Linked DNA regions of Ovis aries. The protein of the gene in region 2 interacts with the protein of the main gene of each other region in a biochemical or structural test. Links are inferred from orthologs where the notes say so. Each region holds a gene or a part of one and is shown on either strand. Other genes may lie near its edges.

Region 1 (5,046 bases), on a different chromosome or scaffold from region 2:
ATTTTTTTCCCAGTGAAGTGATTATCATTCCTTTCAGTTAAGAAGTGATTTTTATTATTTAACACGCGTGTAAGGGTGTGTTTCCTTTAAGAACCAAATCGCACTTGGCCAGCTTGGCATGAAGTGTAATTAGTGCTGTTCTGGACCCAGGATCTGCCCGTGGAATCCTTCCCTTTGTCGCTGTGTCGGGCGCTCCTGCCCTCGCCTTGGAGAGGGGGGTGGTGGACAGCTCCCTGTCCCATGCTCGCGGGCACGCGTCTTCTGGGGAAAGATGAGAGGCCTCGAATGAGACGGCCCGGCGCGTGCCCACCTCTGCAGTGCCCTGCCCACCTGGGATCCCTCTGAGCCACAGCCAAGGGAGGGGCTGTCCTGTGTCCTCCTCTTCACCCTTCACCCCTGCAGCAGCTTGACGTGACTGCTCATTAAAATGGGGGTAAGGCTGTTTTATCTTTGCAGTTCTGCTCCTTGCAGATGCCTGGAGCCAAGGTCACCGCCAGCCTCGTGGGCCGTGGTGTCTGGCATCCTCAGCCTGCTCGCTCTTGGGTGTGGAGGCTAAGCTAGCGTCAGACCGTGGTCCAGCCCACGGCCTCCTTTTCCTTCTGCATCCCAGCTGTAGTCGAGACTGAGCAAGCAGTACAGAGCTTCCAAAGTTGGTGCGCACTCAGGGCCTTCTATGTGTGAAGTGAGCCATGTGCCGACCCACACCCGCGCGGGCCCCAGGAGAGCGCACCGCAGGCCCACGTGGGGCTCTGGGGAGGTGGGAGGGCGAGCCATCTGTGCTACCCGCTGGCGAGGCCTGTGGAGGTGCTGGCCCGCCCTCGGCTCGCCTCCCGCGCGTCCTCCTCGTCAGTGACGTGGTGGCAGGACCCCGTGCGGAGCTGGGTTTTAATTAAGTCACACCTCTGTGTACGCTGTTGCGTTTTCTCTTTCAGGGCTGGCAGCTATTTGTATCTTAGCTGTTGGAGCCGTTTGTCCCAATAACGTCATTTGCTTTCTCCCTTTCAGAGTCATTCACCAGACAGGTGTTATGGAAGCTGCTGAAGCTTGTGAAATTCGGAGAAACGGTTTCTTACCAGCAATTAGCAGCCCTGGCGGGCAACCCCAGAGCAGCGCGGGCCGTGGGAGGAGCCATGAGGAGCAACCCTGTGAGTGTGTGGCCGCGGTCAGCGGGGTGTCGGGGCGAGTGTCAGAGGCAACCTGGGCTGCTGGGGAGGAGAGGAGGTGTTCACGTCAGGGCCTCTGGAAGGGGGTCGTCCAGTCTCGGAAGGCTGTGGTGTGGGCCTGGCCAAGGCCACACTCGCCTGAGGACCCTGCAGGGGGTGGGAAGGGCACCCCATCCACACAGCAGCTCGGCCTCTGGGAGCCCTCACACGATTGCACGGGGCCCTGGAACGTCTCCGGTGTCGTTAGTCTGCAGTGCCCACCAGACCTGGGCGCTGTGGCCCCGTGACACGCTCTCCAGACCCCAGTGCTGTCACTCAGGGACAGCCTCTCCAGACCCGGGCGCTGTCGCCCTAGGAGGGTCTCTGCAGACCTGGGCGCCATCGCCCTGGGACAGTCACTCCCTGAAGCGGTAGGGACTCTGTAACATGGTGGGAGAGTGCCATCCAATCAGGAAAAGCCAGCAGATGGTCACATCGCGGGGCGGGGAGCTACTCCAATACGGTTTCCGTCCATGCTCGCTGGGGAGAGGCGGGGTTTGCCCAGCATGGCCCGCGGCCCCCTCCCCTCAGCTGGTGGCCCCGGGACAGGGCCGGTGTTTTGAGAGGGCGGCCACTCGGCCTTCCACACAGAACCGCACCGTTGTGGGCGCAGGGGCGGCTCCTGTGGGTGGCGTGAGCTGTTGTAGTGTCCGTTTGCCTGGAGAAGAGTCTGCGTCCGTGTTAAACACCCCAGACTGTCAGGAGCAGTGCGCGGCAGATGACAGCACCGCCACCTCGCAGGCCGCGAGCCCCGCGCGGCAGGGGCTGGGGGAGTGGGTTGGTGTCGTGTTTGCCTCTCTCGTGCTTCCATCGCAGCGTCCCCGTGTGTCAGTCACACACGCCATCTCCACAGGCTGCAGGCCTCGTTTGCGTGGCACACGTGGGTGACCCTGGATCAATTTCCAGGGGTAACTGTTGAGGCTTCCCAGTGACGCTGACGTGGCTCCTCTCCTCTGGAGGCCCCCGCCTTCTCCCAGGTCACTCTGTTAGACAGTGTGACCCCACCCCGTGCTGTGTGTCCACGCAGGGCCTCTGGGTGAGCTCTGGAGGTGCCTGCTCCCTGCATCCCAGGGTCCCCGAGCTGTGTAGAAATTCTCCCGTCTGTCTGCACTCCATTCATGCCCTGGGGATGCTTGGTCCTTCTGCTCCTCTCCCTGAGGGCCTTCCCCTCCCTGAGGCTGGCCTTTCATCCCAGCACTGCCTGCCCCCTCGGCACGTGCAGCCCCGCTCACTGGCGTGCACAGCAGCCCACACCTGCCCCTCGTGACACCCGCAGTTCCCCACTTTCTGAAGTGGCCAGGCCGTGGCTGCTGGCGACAGCGCGTAAGGCAGCATTCAGAAACCTTCACTGTCCTGCAGGCAGCAGGACTGCCTCCTCCTGCTGTTGATCTCTGTGACTGTGTCTGCTCAACTGTGGCCCCAGCCCCTGACATCTGTAAAGCAGGCTCTCACGGGGCCTGAGACGCTTCTGTCCATGCAGTCCCTGTCCTGACGTCCCCATGGGCGCGTGCCCAGGTGGCCTGAGGACACGGGGAGGATCCTGCCTGCACCGTGGCCCCTCATGGTGGTGCCGTCCCATGACAAGGGTGGTGCGGTGGCTGTGAGCCACTGGCCTTGCCCTGGGCATCCCTCTGTTGCAGGGCACTGCCTGGCCTCACACAGGAACCCCAGCCTGACCAGAAAGTTGCAGAGGACCCAGTAGATGCCTCCAGGGGTAGCTCAGAAGAGCTGGGGTGCTCCCGGAAGGAGACAGCCTGCGTGCCTTGCAGCTGGGCCAGCTCAGCAGAGTCAGCCGTGCTCAGAGGTCTTTGGATCATCCATAGAGCAGGCTGAGGGGTCCTAAGGGGACCCAGGTAAGTGAAGGGATAAGGGGCCGACCCAGTGGACACGTCCCCCTTCTCATGCCGACGGCAGAGTCCAGCCACAGAGCCACACGTGGGCACAGGGAGTGTGGCCTGGAGATATACGCAATGAAGCCATCTCTGTGTTCAGGAGGAGCGTGACAGACAGATGGACGCAGAAGCTGCAGGACACCCTGGCGCTTATGGTGCGCCCATTCCATGTCCGGCAGTAAACAAGGACGCGCCGGCCCCCGTGATGGCCTGTGCTTGAGGCGTGGGCTGCTCACCTGCAGACTGAGGGGTGGTGTCTGCTGCTGGGGGGGTTTCAGCCCACCCCAGGCCCTTGGTTTTTCCAGAATTTTCCATGAATGGATTAATAGCCCAGGTGTAATGACTTGGCAGCCCTCCAGAATGCCCTGTCCCAGACCCAGCCCTGGGGCGGCAGTCTTCTGGTGAGGCAGGTTGACAAGGGCTCACACCCTGCCTGATAAAGCCCCTTCCTGTTCATCCTCAGAATTTGCTAAATGCAGTTCAGAAGCAATCAATACTTGGCAGAGAGTTTCCCCACCTTTTCCTAAACAAGTGCATTCCTGAGGAGTTCGTTTATTCGCAGATCGCCACGAGCCTCAGTGACCCCCGAGTCTTGTCCTGCCAGTCACCCAGATGGCTGTTGATAAAGACTTAGCTTCATGTTCTAAGTGTCAGGGCTGTCAGTGGGGCTGAACCATTTGACCAGAAGAAAAAAACGCGCAGGGAGCTATTGATTACAGCTTCTCAGTGTCACTTGTTCACCAGGATTTAGGTATTGATGAGGCCGCAAGTGAAAACAAGCTCTTTCCCTTGTGGGCTGCTGCCCACAAGAACAAAGGCAAAGCTGGAGAAAATATTCAGCCAGCACCAGAATCAGAGGGATTCCATTATTGATTGAAAGGCCCCTTCATGTTATTTTTGTTGGAGACAAATCTATGGGTTTGGAAGTTTTATAGCATTCGAGAAAGGGTCTGTGTAAGTGATGGATTCATGTATTGGATGAATTAGATTTCACAGCGTGAAGATTTCAGTGCAGCCGTGATATTATGAGCTGCTTGGTTATTGATGAAGATTACATCTCATGCAGCACAGGCTTTAAAGGAGAGGGCATGGAGGGTGTGGATCCTTTGGAATGTCCTTAGGGCCACAGTGAAGTTTAGCAGGTTTCATTATTTTAACAGTCTGGAGCCTGCCACTGAAATTGGCACGAGCAGAAGCAGTGTTCCCGTTTCTGGAGGTGAGACTCGTGTGTGTTTGGTCAGTCACCAGTTCCCATCAAAGATGAAGACTGACCGTAGCTGTCTCTGTAACTGCTACTCCAGGCCACCAGGCTGTCATCTGCATGGTGCTTAGAAAGAGAGGGCCGCGTTACACACTCACAGTCCGTAGCTTGTTGGGCAAGAGGGAAGAAAAGCAGAGCTTGTGTGTGAAGTCTGCTGTTCGGGAGGAAAATTGAACTGGGGCCGAAATATTTATAAAACTAAATTGAATTAGTGTCTACCTCCTTATCAGTCAAAAACTTGAATTGTGTATTATCTAATCGTGTCCTCCCAGCAATTATTAATGTGACTACTGTATCTGTTCCTGAAGTTTCCTGTTCCCCCCAGTTGTGTGCTGTGGGCAGGCCCCCAGTGTGGCCGCTTCTCGCTTGGTCAGACTGTGCGGGGGAGGAAGCCCGAGCCCTCCTCGCAGGGCTAGAACTCCGCAGACAGCACACGTCACCATGGCAACCCAGACCCCCCAAAATCCGAGTCAGGGCTGGTCTGTGAGGCACGGGAGGTCAGACGGCCACCTCCGGGCCCTGCCTCTGTGGTCCCCCGGGGCGGCGTGCAGAATGCGGGCCTCCAAGCAGCTTTCGGACCCGGACGAGAGGCTCGCTGCACCCTCAGGTTGGGGAGTCTGGCCTGGGCTCCACGGAGGGCGTGGAGTCACAGCATGCATGTCAGGCATGTTCTCCCTGCCGTGTCCTTACT
Region 2 (5,046 bases):
CCCAGCGGGTGCAAACCGCAGGCTCAGAACCACTGCAGGTGCACTCGGCCCCCCATTCTGCGGTGTCCTGCCGGCCGACGTCCTGCCTTCACCGTAACCAGCAACGGCAGGAACCGGATCCGTCAGGCCCCCTCTCCCCGCCCGCCCCAGCTCCCCCCGCGCTCCTCTGCTGAGCATCACTAGCAGAAACTCAGCCTGCACGGTCCCCGACCCTCACGCCACATGAAAGGCAGAGGAGGGAGCCGGCAGGGGAGAAAAGCTCATTTTCTTGCAGAAGCAGAAATGAAATATGCCGTCTCTGAGATCCAGAAACCAGAAGCTGGTCCACATTTGCCTGGAGGCTGCAGAGAATGGTGGGTCCCAGCAGGTCTCCATGATGGGGTGGGGGGGATTGTCCTCTCCATGTTGACACCCCCTCTCCCCCCAGCAGAATCACACGCCCATGGAGTCCAGAGGGCCAGCAAAGCCTCCTCTGTGCTGCAGGCACAGGGCCTTGATGCTCACCGATAAATGATTCCTCTTTTATGAAGGAAGAACAGCCCGATGGAAATCTCTGCTGCATAGAACCTGCAACAGAAAACGTCTGTCAGGCGTCCGGCTTGTTCCCTCCGGCCTCCTGGATACTTTCTGCGCTCAAGATCAGGCAGCAAAATGGCACAGGAAGGGGGGACCCTGACCGCCAGAGGCTAGCACTGCCCTACAGGCAGCGCCAACCCTCTGCAGTTTTATGACCCCAGCTTCCCCAAGGGACGACACAGCTGATAAAATCAGCGGAGCAGGTTTATTACCTGTCTGAAAACAAGCCCTTCTTGTCTGGGGCAGGTGGACAGGTAATTTAGCGCTTAAAAGAAATTTTGAGCACAATCTTTTAAGAGTGGCTGTCTGCTAGGTGGTTCTGTCAGGCTATAGTAGATGGAAGCAAATTCCCATTTTCCCCGTAAGGACAGAATACGTTAGCGTTTGAAAACACCCGTCTGCCCTAGAAGACAAAGGTCAGTGTGAGCTGAACTCTGGGAATGGCTTACTTACTCCCACAGCCTCACCCCAGGCGCTGGGGGAGTGGGGCCCAGGCCACAGTTCATACCTGGTGCACCCTTTAAATAATTCAGCATAGGAAGGAGTCACAGCCGTCGCTTCAGAGTTGCTAATGGATCAATGTCTGAAACTCCAAAGAAACGCTGAAGGAGGTTTTAAAATCTGCTTGTGTTTAGTTCCTGAAGCCCGAGAAGCCACAAGACTCTGCCTGTGCAAACAGCACTCTCGTGAGGCTTCAGTAAGCACACGTGTTTACACGAGTGTGTCTACAGGAGCGGAGGAAGGGCCCCTGATGACAAGGGCCACACTCTCAACAGGGGGCCGTCTCTGAGTGCCGGTGGGAGGTGGGGAGGAGAGCAGGGGTCACGGGTGACTTTCCTGCGGCTTTCTCCTGTTTTTCTGTTTTGTTTTTTTTTTTTTTTTTAAATATGAAACGTTCCAGCAACACAGATACAATTGAAGGTACTAAGAGGGACGCGCATGGTTTCTGGATGGAGGGAAGCTGTTCTGCCCTTGGCTCCGACAGCCCTGAGTGGTTAGGCTCAGCTCTGCCATTGGCTTGTTTTAATGCTTTGTAACTAACAACATAAGAGACGGGATCAGGGGACAGCTTTCTGAAAACGGAAAGGAAAAATAAAAGCAGAAACCAGCAGCCCTGCCCTTGTTTTGAGCGAGCCCGCAAGAACGCCCTGCTCTGCCTCAGGTGGGTCTCCCCAGGCCGGCTCACCCCACGTGGGCCAGAGCGGCTCGGGTTTATTGTTTAGACTGAACCAACGCTGGAGCCGGATGGAGGTTTGCTCAGGTGATTAACTGGGGTTCCTGGCACAACAAATCTCCACTGGGGGTGAAAGGGCTTTGCCTCTCTGAGTTACCCGCGACTTCCTGGCCCTGGAATACGGGCTGATTCTCCAGGTGGTCAGGGCTCCGCCTCTAGATTCTCCGTCTTCCCTGGAGCCCGCGGCTCCCTGACGGCGCGGATTCCTGCCTCCCGGCCTCGAGGTGCGCACACCCCACTGAAACCTACCCGGAACTCCTCCTGGACGGCAGCCCGTCCCAAGCCTACGGGGGCGTCACCTCGGCCTCTCCAGGACACTGATGCCCCTGGGGCTCCAAGGCCGCTCCGCTCTTTCTGCAGGCTGTCCGCACCTGTGCTACACCAGGCCCCCACCCTCCCGTCTCCTCTGGCCGGGAGGCCCCGATGCTGTCAGGCCCCCGAGGCCCCCCAGGCTCTCTCGCTCCTAGCCAGGCCCTCGCTCTGCTGGGCGCAGCACCCAGAGCCCCTTCCGCTGCTCAGCTCCTGAGAGAGTGGCTCAGGGGTCGGGGCAGCTCCCAGGGACGGAGGAGAACGAAAGTCTCCGTCTCCGTGGGACGCGCGGGCGGACCCCGGGGAGGCAGCGGCGCTTCGCCCCAAGCTGGGCGGAGCCCCACTTCCAGAGCTGAGAGCACTCGAGCTACTCACACTGCTTGCGGCTCCTTGAACCTCCCGACCTGCTGGATGTGGTACATGAGGTCCCCGCCGTTGACGTACTCCATGACGAAGTAGAGCCGGTCCTGGGGGCCGAGGAGGGGGCGGTGAGCGGGCTCCCCGCGGCCGGCGGCCCCGCTCCAGCCCGCGCTCTGCTTTCCCGCTGGGGAAACGCGGGCCGCGCCGGCACGTCTGCCCGGCGGAGCCCGTCGCAGTTTTCTCCCCGCAAGAAAGAATTAGTAAAAAGCCCTGTGTGTGAGGACCTCAGGACATGCCCTGAAACCTCAGCGCTCAGTTGCCCTGCCCACCCCTCTGGTTACAGACGCTCCCAATGGTGGAAGCGGCCTCACACCTTCCTCCCTTCTCTCCTACACACAGAATTCGTTTCCAAGGTGGGGCTGGAGTGGAGAGCCCGCAGAGGCCAGTTCTTTAGCCAGTGGCTGGCAGTGCAGTGATGGCCGGCGATGCGTTTGCCCAGAGTGTCTGAGAGCAGACCTGGTGGGCCGGGGGGCTCGTACCCCGTAGAGCCCAGGGTCGTCCGCCGTGGGGTGGGGCTGCGTGTGCGGAGGCCGCCGGGTGTTCTGCATCCACGTTCGCCCAAATGCTGTTTCTGACTCTCTGTGTGCGCAGCACACAGCACGGAGCTCCGAGAGTCTGCGCCTCTGCGAGGACCTTACCCCGGGACAGATGGGAGGTGGAGGGGCTTTAGGAGGGAGCTAAGAGCGCAGCGCAAGGAGACGCTGGCCTCTCTCTTCCAGGGAGCACCACCATGCACAGAGGTCATTGGACACTGAAGCGGTGCACAGGAGGAAAACGACAGAGCTGGGGCCAACAGGCAGGAGAGGGCGCTGGGAGCCTCAACCCCTCGCCTTCCTGTCATGAACCTTCCTTTCAACCTTATTTCTCTGCTTTGCAGCTTTCCAGAGCTTAAGCAGTGGAACCGGGGTGACAGGATCCCGGCTGGGGCTCGTCCCTCTCCTTTGCGTGTTGCTAGATTCTCTTCCGGACGCTGCTGGGAGCTGCTGGGAGACGGACCTTCACTCGGCTGCCCGCGCCCGGCCGCCCCCTGGTGGCCGGGACTGGCTCTGCGGCCCCGCCATCCACTCCGGGCCGCAGGCTGCGGCCCTGCGGGTCACCGAGCCACAGGTTCAGGACGACAGCCGCTGAGGCGTGGAGAGCTTGCCTTTGGCAACGCCTCACTACGGTGCGGCGTACAGTATACACACATACAAATATAAATATCCGAGGGTTTGTATTTCTTGGAGGTTACCTGCCAGCACCATGCCCCAGACTTGGCTGATTAGTGGAAATTATTTTGTCCTCTTTAGTTAACCTGTGTGACAGGGCTCTGCAAACGTTTTCTGCAAAGGGCCAGACAGGAAATGTTTCAGGCTTTGTGTGTGTCTTGCAACTACTCAGCTGTGCCTTTGCAGTCAAAAGCCCCTGATGCCAGGTTAGTGAAGCGGCAGGCTATGTCCTGAGAAAACCACTTATGGATCTTGAAATCATCTACTTTTCTTGTGTTACAAAATAATATTCTTTTTATAAAGCCTCTCTTAGAGCTCAGGGACCATCCACACAAAACAGGCCAGACTGCCACCCCTGAGTGAGCATTACCCAAGAACATCCTCTTCCAGGACATGGGTCTCCTGACGCTCTGATGGCAATTCGGTAGCTGTACCAGGATTTAATGAGCCAGGACTGTGAGTTACCGTTTTGTATCTCTAAGCCTTAACACATTGCCTGGTGCGCGTTAGAAAAGCCTTTGATAGAAGCACTCACAGAATCAAATGGAGTTAATGCCAAGTCTATGAGTAGGGGATGCCCTGAAGTCCCCAGGGGCACCCAGTCTGCTTGGGAGAGGAGGGCGTGGGCTACCGTCTTCTCCCGGGAGGGGGCTGGGGTGTGGCGTGAGCACCCTGTGGCGGGGGCGGGGGGGGGGGGGGGGGCGGGGGCGGGCCCTCACCGCCGTCTGGAAGCTGGAGTGCAGCTGCGTCAGGAACGGCGGCTTGTCCAGCAGGGCCAGCACCCGCTTCTCCACCATGGTGCACTCCACGTCGTCGTCCTGGATGACCACGTCCTTCTTCAGGATCTTGATGGCGTACAGCTCCTCGGTCCCCTTCCGGTCGGCCAGCATCACCTGCAGGCAGATGGAGGGCAACCTGAACATCCGGGCACACGGCACGGGGGGTGCCGGAACTGTGTGTACAGACCCGTCAATTATTTTTAAAGAGTTTATGTGGCTCATTTTTAAAGTCTTTATTGAATCTGTTACAATGTTGCTTCTATTTTCTGCTTTTGGTTTTTTGGCAAAGAGGCATGTGGGATCTTAGTTCCCCGACCAGGGGTTGAACCTGCAGCCCCTGTGCTGGAAGGTGAAGTCTCAACCCCTGGAGCACCAGGCCAGGCCCAACAGGCTCGCTGACAAAAAGGAAGCTGCCTTCAGGCGCCAGTTCCCAAACGCTGCAGTGTGTGTGTGCACGCGCGCGTGTGTGGTGTGTCTGTGTGTGCGCGTGCGTGTGTGCATATGTGTGGTGTGTCTGTGT
Region 3 (5,046 bases), on a different chromosome or scaffold from region 2:
GATGTGGGCCAAATGTTAGTGGCGGGAGATGGCTGTCCTGGGTCTAGCCAGGGAGATGGCCAGTGTGGTCTCGAACCGGAAGTGACTGCATTCAGTCTGGCCTCATGGCCCCGGATGCCCCCTAGTCCTGCTTCCTGTTTGGGGGCCTTGAAAGACCTCGGCCTGGAACCATTGTGGAGGGCGTGGGAAGAGCCTCAGGGGAGGGCTGTCTCTCACACCACAGGTCACCGCAGGGGTCTGTGGAGCCTGTTTGCACGCCTGTGTTTGGATGTCTGGTCTCTGTGACTGTGTGAGGTGCCTCGGCCATCTGGGCCCGCGTCCACCTACCAGGTGTGGTCATGTCACACGTCCAGGGTCCCACACGGCCCTGGCCAGCCTCGGAACCTGTGGTCTGACAGCCCCAGCCTGAGAGTTGCCTCAGAGCCACACACCTGTGCTTGCAGCTGTGTTTGGAGAGGGCCCAGTCTGTGGGGTCCTGGAGAACCTGGGTGTCTGCCCAGCCGATCCCCTGGAGGATGGAGGAGCAGAAGCCCCAGCCCCTGGAATTTCTGGGGCAGATGGTGGCCTGCAGCAGGGGTTCCTGGGGGGCTTTGGAGATCAGGGACTCTTTGGGGATCAGGAACGGGCCCCTGGAGGAGGGGCCCAGGCTGGACTGGAAGGTGTTCCCCACCGGTAGGAAGGCCCACATGCTGGGGCAAGGTACCATCCTGTAAGGAAGGGCACTCTTGGTTCCACGGCAGGGTGGCCACAGTCAGATTTGGGGGATTTGGGGTGAGCTTGGAGGCTTGGAGGCTGGCTCTCCCAAGTGTGGCCCCCCACCTGGCCCAGTGTCCCCGGCCACACACAGGGAGGTGGAAGGCCAGGCCCCGGTGAGCACCCCCGCCCCTGCACGCACATTTGAGCCCTAAGCGCTGGGGAAACCTGAGCTGCTGGCCGCCTGCTCCCTCCGGCCACCGCCATGTTAGACTGAGCGTCGCGGCCGCTGGCCACTCAGCGCTGGTCATTGCCTTAGGCCCCGGTGGGGTCCTGGGGTCTGGCCCCTGCCTGCACGGCTCCCTGCACCCCCTGGCCCATAGCCCTACTGCAGGATGCCAGAGGTAAACGGAGGCAGGGCCCTTGGGTGTGGGTGGGCACCCTCAGGGCACCAGGAGCCCCCGGGGTCAGAGGGGCAGGTGGGAGGCAGGCCCCTCTGCTTGCTCACTGGGCTCCAGCGTGTGGGGATGGGGGCTGCTCCAGCTGCTCTGGAATGTGAAGGCAAACACAGCTGCAGCTGCTGCCACCAGCCCCAGGGAGACCTGTGGGAGTGTAAACAAAGCTGGAGCCCTACCCCAGCAGACCCACACTCGGAGTAAACAACAGGCGGGGCTGCCCTCCTGGAACAGAGACACGGGGCAGCTCACCTCGCCTGCTCCCTCCTCGGCTCGGGTCTGCGCCCAGCCCTATCCTCGACCCAGTGGATTCTCCCAATCCCACTGTAAGGCCTTTGATCGCATCACAGGCCCACTGGGGGTTTGGAAACCAAGCCTTTGTCCAAGATCCCAAAGTTGGATCATCGTAGGTGGCCTAAGCACCCCCACACCCCAGGACGGGTCTCTGAGACGAGGGGCTACCATCAGGTGGGGGTATGAGGCCAAGCGCTGCCTTGGCACCCAGCGGGGTGTGGGGTGGGTGTGGGCTGGAGGCCTCGGGCGTCAGCATCTCTCAGATGGGAGGAGGTCAGAGCTGGAACCTCACCAGGTGTCCCCGACGCCTGCAGGATGCCAACGGGCCTCTGAGGGAGCTGCGCCCAAGGCTCTGCCACCTACGGAAGGGCCCCCAGGGCTACGGGTTTAACCTGCACAGCGACAAGTCCCGGCCCGGACAGTACATCCGCTCAGTGGACCCCGGCTCCCCTGCTGCCCACTCTGGTCTCCGTGCCCAGGACCGACTCATAGAGGTACCTGCCACTGGGGCTGCGGGGAGCGGGCTGCCCTGTGTGTACCTGTGTCCTGCTGTGCGTGCCTCTGTGTGTCTGTGCCTGTGTGTGTGTGTACGCCTACGTGTCTGCCTATCCGTGTCCGTGTGTATATGTGTCTGTGCCTGCGTGCTGTGTCCATGTGTATCTATCTCTGTGTGTGTGTCTGCCCTTGCATGCCTGGTGTGTCCGTGTCTATGTGTGTGTGTGCATGTGCCTCTGTGTGCCTGTGTGTGTCCTTGTGTATCTGCACCTGCGTGACGGTAGGTGTGTCCGTGTATATCTGTGTCTGCACCTATGTGCCTGTAGGTGTGTCCGTGTCTATCTGTGTGTGTGCATGCATGTCTGTGCACTTGTATGTGTCCCTGTGTATCTGTCTGCACCTGCGTGCCTGTAGGTGTGTTCCTGTGTTATCTGTCTGCACCTGCATGCCTTAGGTGTGTCCGTGTGTGTGCATGTGCGCCTGTGCACCTGTGTCCATGTGTATCTGTGTGTTTGCACCTGTGTGCCTGTAGGTGTGTCCATGTGTATCTATCTATGTGTGTGCGCCTGCAGGCCTGTGTGTCTGTGTGTACTTATCTGTGTGTGTGCACCTGCATGCCTGTAGGTATGTCTGTGTCTGTGCGCCTGTGTCTGTGTGTATCTGTGTGTGTGTCTGCACCTGCATGCCTGTAGGTGTGTCCATATGTGTGTGCGCGCACCTGTGCATGTTCGAGTGTATCTATGTCTGCAACTGCATGACTGTAGGTGTGTCCGTGTCTATCTATCTGTGCGTGTGCATCTGTGCACCTATATGTGTCTGTGTGTATCTGTGTGTCTGCACCTGCGTGCCTGTAGGTGTGTCCGTTTATCTGTGTGTGTCTGTGCGCCTGTATGTGTGTGTATCTCTGTGTGTCTGCACCTGTGTGCCTGTAGGTGTGTCTGTTTATGTGTGTGTCTGTGCGCCTGTATGTGTGTATCTGTGTGTCTGCACCTGCGTGCCTGTAGGTGTGTCCATGTGTCCGTGTGTATCTGTGTGTGTCTGCACCTGCGTGCCTGTAGGTGTGTCCGTATGTGTGTCCGCGTGTATCTGTGTGTGTCTGCACCTGCGTGCCTGTAGGTGTGTCCGTGTGTGCGCGTGCCTGTGCACCTGTATGTGTCCGCGTGTATCTGTGTGTGTGTCTGCACCTGCGTGCCTGTAGGTGTGTCTGTGTGCATCTATCCACGTCTGTGTGCCTGGGCCCCAGGTCCTCTGCAGGAGGAAGATTCCGGGAACCTGAGCTGGTGCTCTTCTTGGTGCTGCAGCTGGTGACGGCACTGATGAATATTTGATGCCACACCTGTCCGGGTGGCTTGGGGGGCTGGTGGGGACCAGTCCCCAGGCAGCACTGACCCTGTGCTGGTGGCAGGTGAACGGGCAGAATGTGGAGGGGCTGCGCCATGCAGAGGTGGTGGCCAGCATCAAGGCGCGGGAGGACGAGGCCCAGCTGCTGGTGGTGGACCCCGAGACGGATGAACACTTCAAGCGGCTGCGGGTCACACCCACCGAGGAGCATGTGGAAGGTGAGCGGCTGCTTTGGGGCCCAGGGCTGGGGTGAAGCATCGGGGACCCGAGTGGTCAGTTACATACTGTCCCCACAGGTCCACTGCCATCGCCGGTCACCAACGGGACCAGCTCGGCCCAGGTGAGAGGGTGGGAGCAGACAGGGTGGGCTCGGGGACCTCAGGGGCACTTCTGGGAGCCCCTCCTGAGACCTCAGTCCTGGTGTCACATGGTTGTGACACTGAGCCCGGCCCTGTCACTCCCAGCTTTAAGGCCCCTTGGGTCCTGTCCGGGCCCAGCCGCACTCCACCCCACAGGGCACTCGGGCACCGCCAGCTTGCAGTCAAGGCTCAGTGCCACTGCCAGATGCAGGAGTAAATGCAGCTCTGGGGTGTGCACGTGTGTGCACACACTTGTGTCCATGTGTGCACATACGTGTGCACAGTCTCCTGGGTGGGCCCCTGAAGCCACACCTTACCCTTGGTTTCCCAGCTCAATGGTGGCTCCGTGTGCTCGTCCCGAAGTGACCTGCCCGGCTTAGACAAGGACACTGAGGTAGTGGGTGCCCCTCCACCTCCAGTGCTGCTGCTCACATGCTGGGGGGCCTGAGGCCTTGGGGGCGGGCATCTGTGGAGCTGTCAGCCTGAGCCGTGAGGCCGCCGCCTCTAGGAAGCCTTCCTGGGCCTGCTGCCAGGTGGCCTCTGGCGCCAGCTCCCTGGGGAGGGCCACCTGCCTGGGGGCTGGGGTCCAGGGCTCACTGGCCACCTGCCCACCGTGTCCACCCCTAGGATGGCAGCACGTGGAAGCGAGACCCTTTTCAGGAGAGCGGCCTTCACCTGAGCCCCACAGCAGCTGAGGCCAAGGAGAAGGCGAGAGCCACCAGGGTCAACAAGCGGGCACCACAGATGGACTGGAACCGGAAGCGCGAGATCTTCAGCAACTTCTGAGCCCCCTGCCTGCTCCCCACCGGCTCTTCCCCACGGGCCTGGGCCTTGCCCTTCGGACTGCCCAGAGCTCCCCACGCCCCGGTGGACTGGAGGGGGCATCCTTACCCCTAAGCTGGGGTGGTCCCACCACCACCCGCAGGGTGTTAGGGGAGTGTGGCCACAAGATGGGCAGAGGGAGCCCCCGAGATGTGAGAGACCCAGAGAGACAGTGAGGGGCAGGGGGGGGAAAGGGGGGGGGGCAAGGGCCAGGGGGGAGGGGCGGTGGTGACCCACGGGCTGGCCGCCGTGCTGACTGCCTGGGCTTGCTGACTTACAGGAATTTGTGTTTTTGCTTTTTTTTTCCCCAGAAGGATCTCTAGCTCCACATATGTTTCCACTTAATAGCAGAGCCCCGCCCCCACCCCCTCAGGACGTGCTCTCTAAATACTTGCAATAAAACAAACCTTTCTCTGCACACCATTCCCCCCCAACCCCCTCAGCAGCAGCCATTCCAAGTGGGAGTCCCAGGGACAGGGCTGGGGGCTCGCAGGCTTCAGGGCAGGGGCTCTGAGAGATGCCCTCTGCCCTGTCCTGGGGTGGGTGGTCTGAGGATGGAGGCCCCGTGCCCCTGAGGAGGGCACCTC

What was found.
Region 1: of the proteins of PRKCA (region 2) and MGMT, one has a biochemical effect on the other in vitro, tested with the Homo sapiens proteins (2 studies listed by BioGRID). The link is inferred for Ovis aries from reciprocal best matches to the Homo sapiens genes PRKCA and MGMT.
Region 3: the proteins of PRKCA (region 2) and NHERF2 form a complex in vitro, tested with the Homo sapiens proteins (2 studies listed by BioGRID and IntAct, with this or other methods). The link is inferred for Ovis aries from reciprocal best matches to the Homo sapiens genes PRKCA and NHERF2.

Annotation. Positions count from the first base shown.
Region 1 is NC_056075.1:48,588,462-48,593,507, forward strand, and holds part of MGMT (methylated-DNA--protein-cysteine methyltransferase), read left to right. Parts: intron 1-1,005; coding exon 1,006-1,145; intron 1,146-5,046. UniProt on the Homo sapiens protein: Involved in the cellular defense against the biological effects of O6-methylguanine (O6-MeG) and O4-methylthymine (O4-MeT) in DNA. Repairs the methylated nucleobase in DNA by stoichiometrically transferring the methyl group to a cysteine residue in the enzyme.
Region 2 is NC_056064.1:62,092,987-62,098,032, reverse strand, and holds part of PRKCA (protein kinase C alpha type), read right to left. Parts: intron 4,641-5,046; coding exon 4,467-4,640; intron 2,587-4,466; coding exon 2,495-2,586; intron 568-2,494; coding exon 505-567; intron 1-504. UniProt on the Homo sapiens protein: Calcium-activated, phospholipid- and diacylglycerol (DAG)-dependent serine/threonine-protein kinase that is involved in positive and negative regulation of cell proliferation, apoptosis, differentiation, migration and adhesion, tumorigenesis, cardiac hypertrophy, angiogenesis, platelet function and inflammation, by directly phosphorylating targets such as RAF1, BCL2, CSPG4, TNNT2/CTNT, or activating signaling cascade involving MAPK1/3 (ERK1/2) and RAP1GAP.
Region 3 is NC_056077.1:2,105,372-2,110,417, forward strand, and holds part of NHERF2 (Na(+)/H(+) exchange regulatory cofactor NHE-RF2), read left to right. Parts: intron 1-1,756; coding exon 1,757-1,936; intron 1,937-3,342; coding exon 3,343-3,496; intron 3,497-3,574; coding exon 3,575-3,618; intron 3,619-3,968; coding exon 3,969-4,031; intron 4,032-4,264; coding exon 4,265-4,423; 3' UTR 4,424-5,046.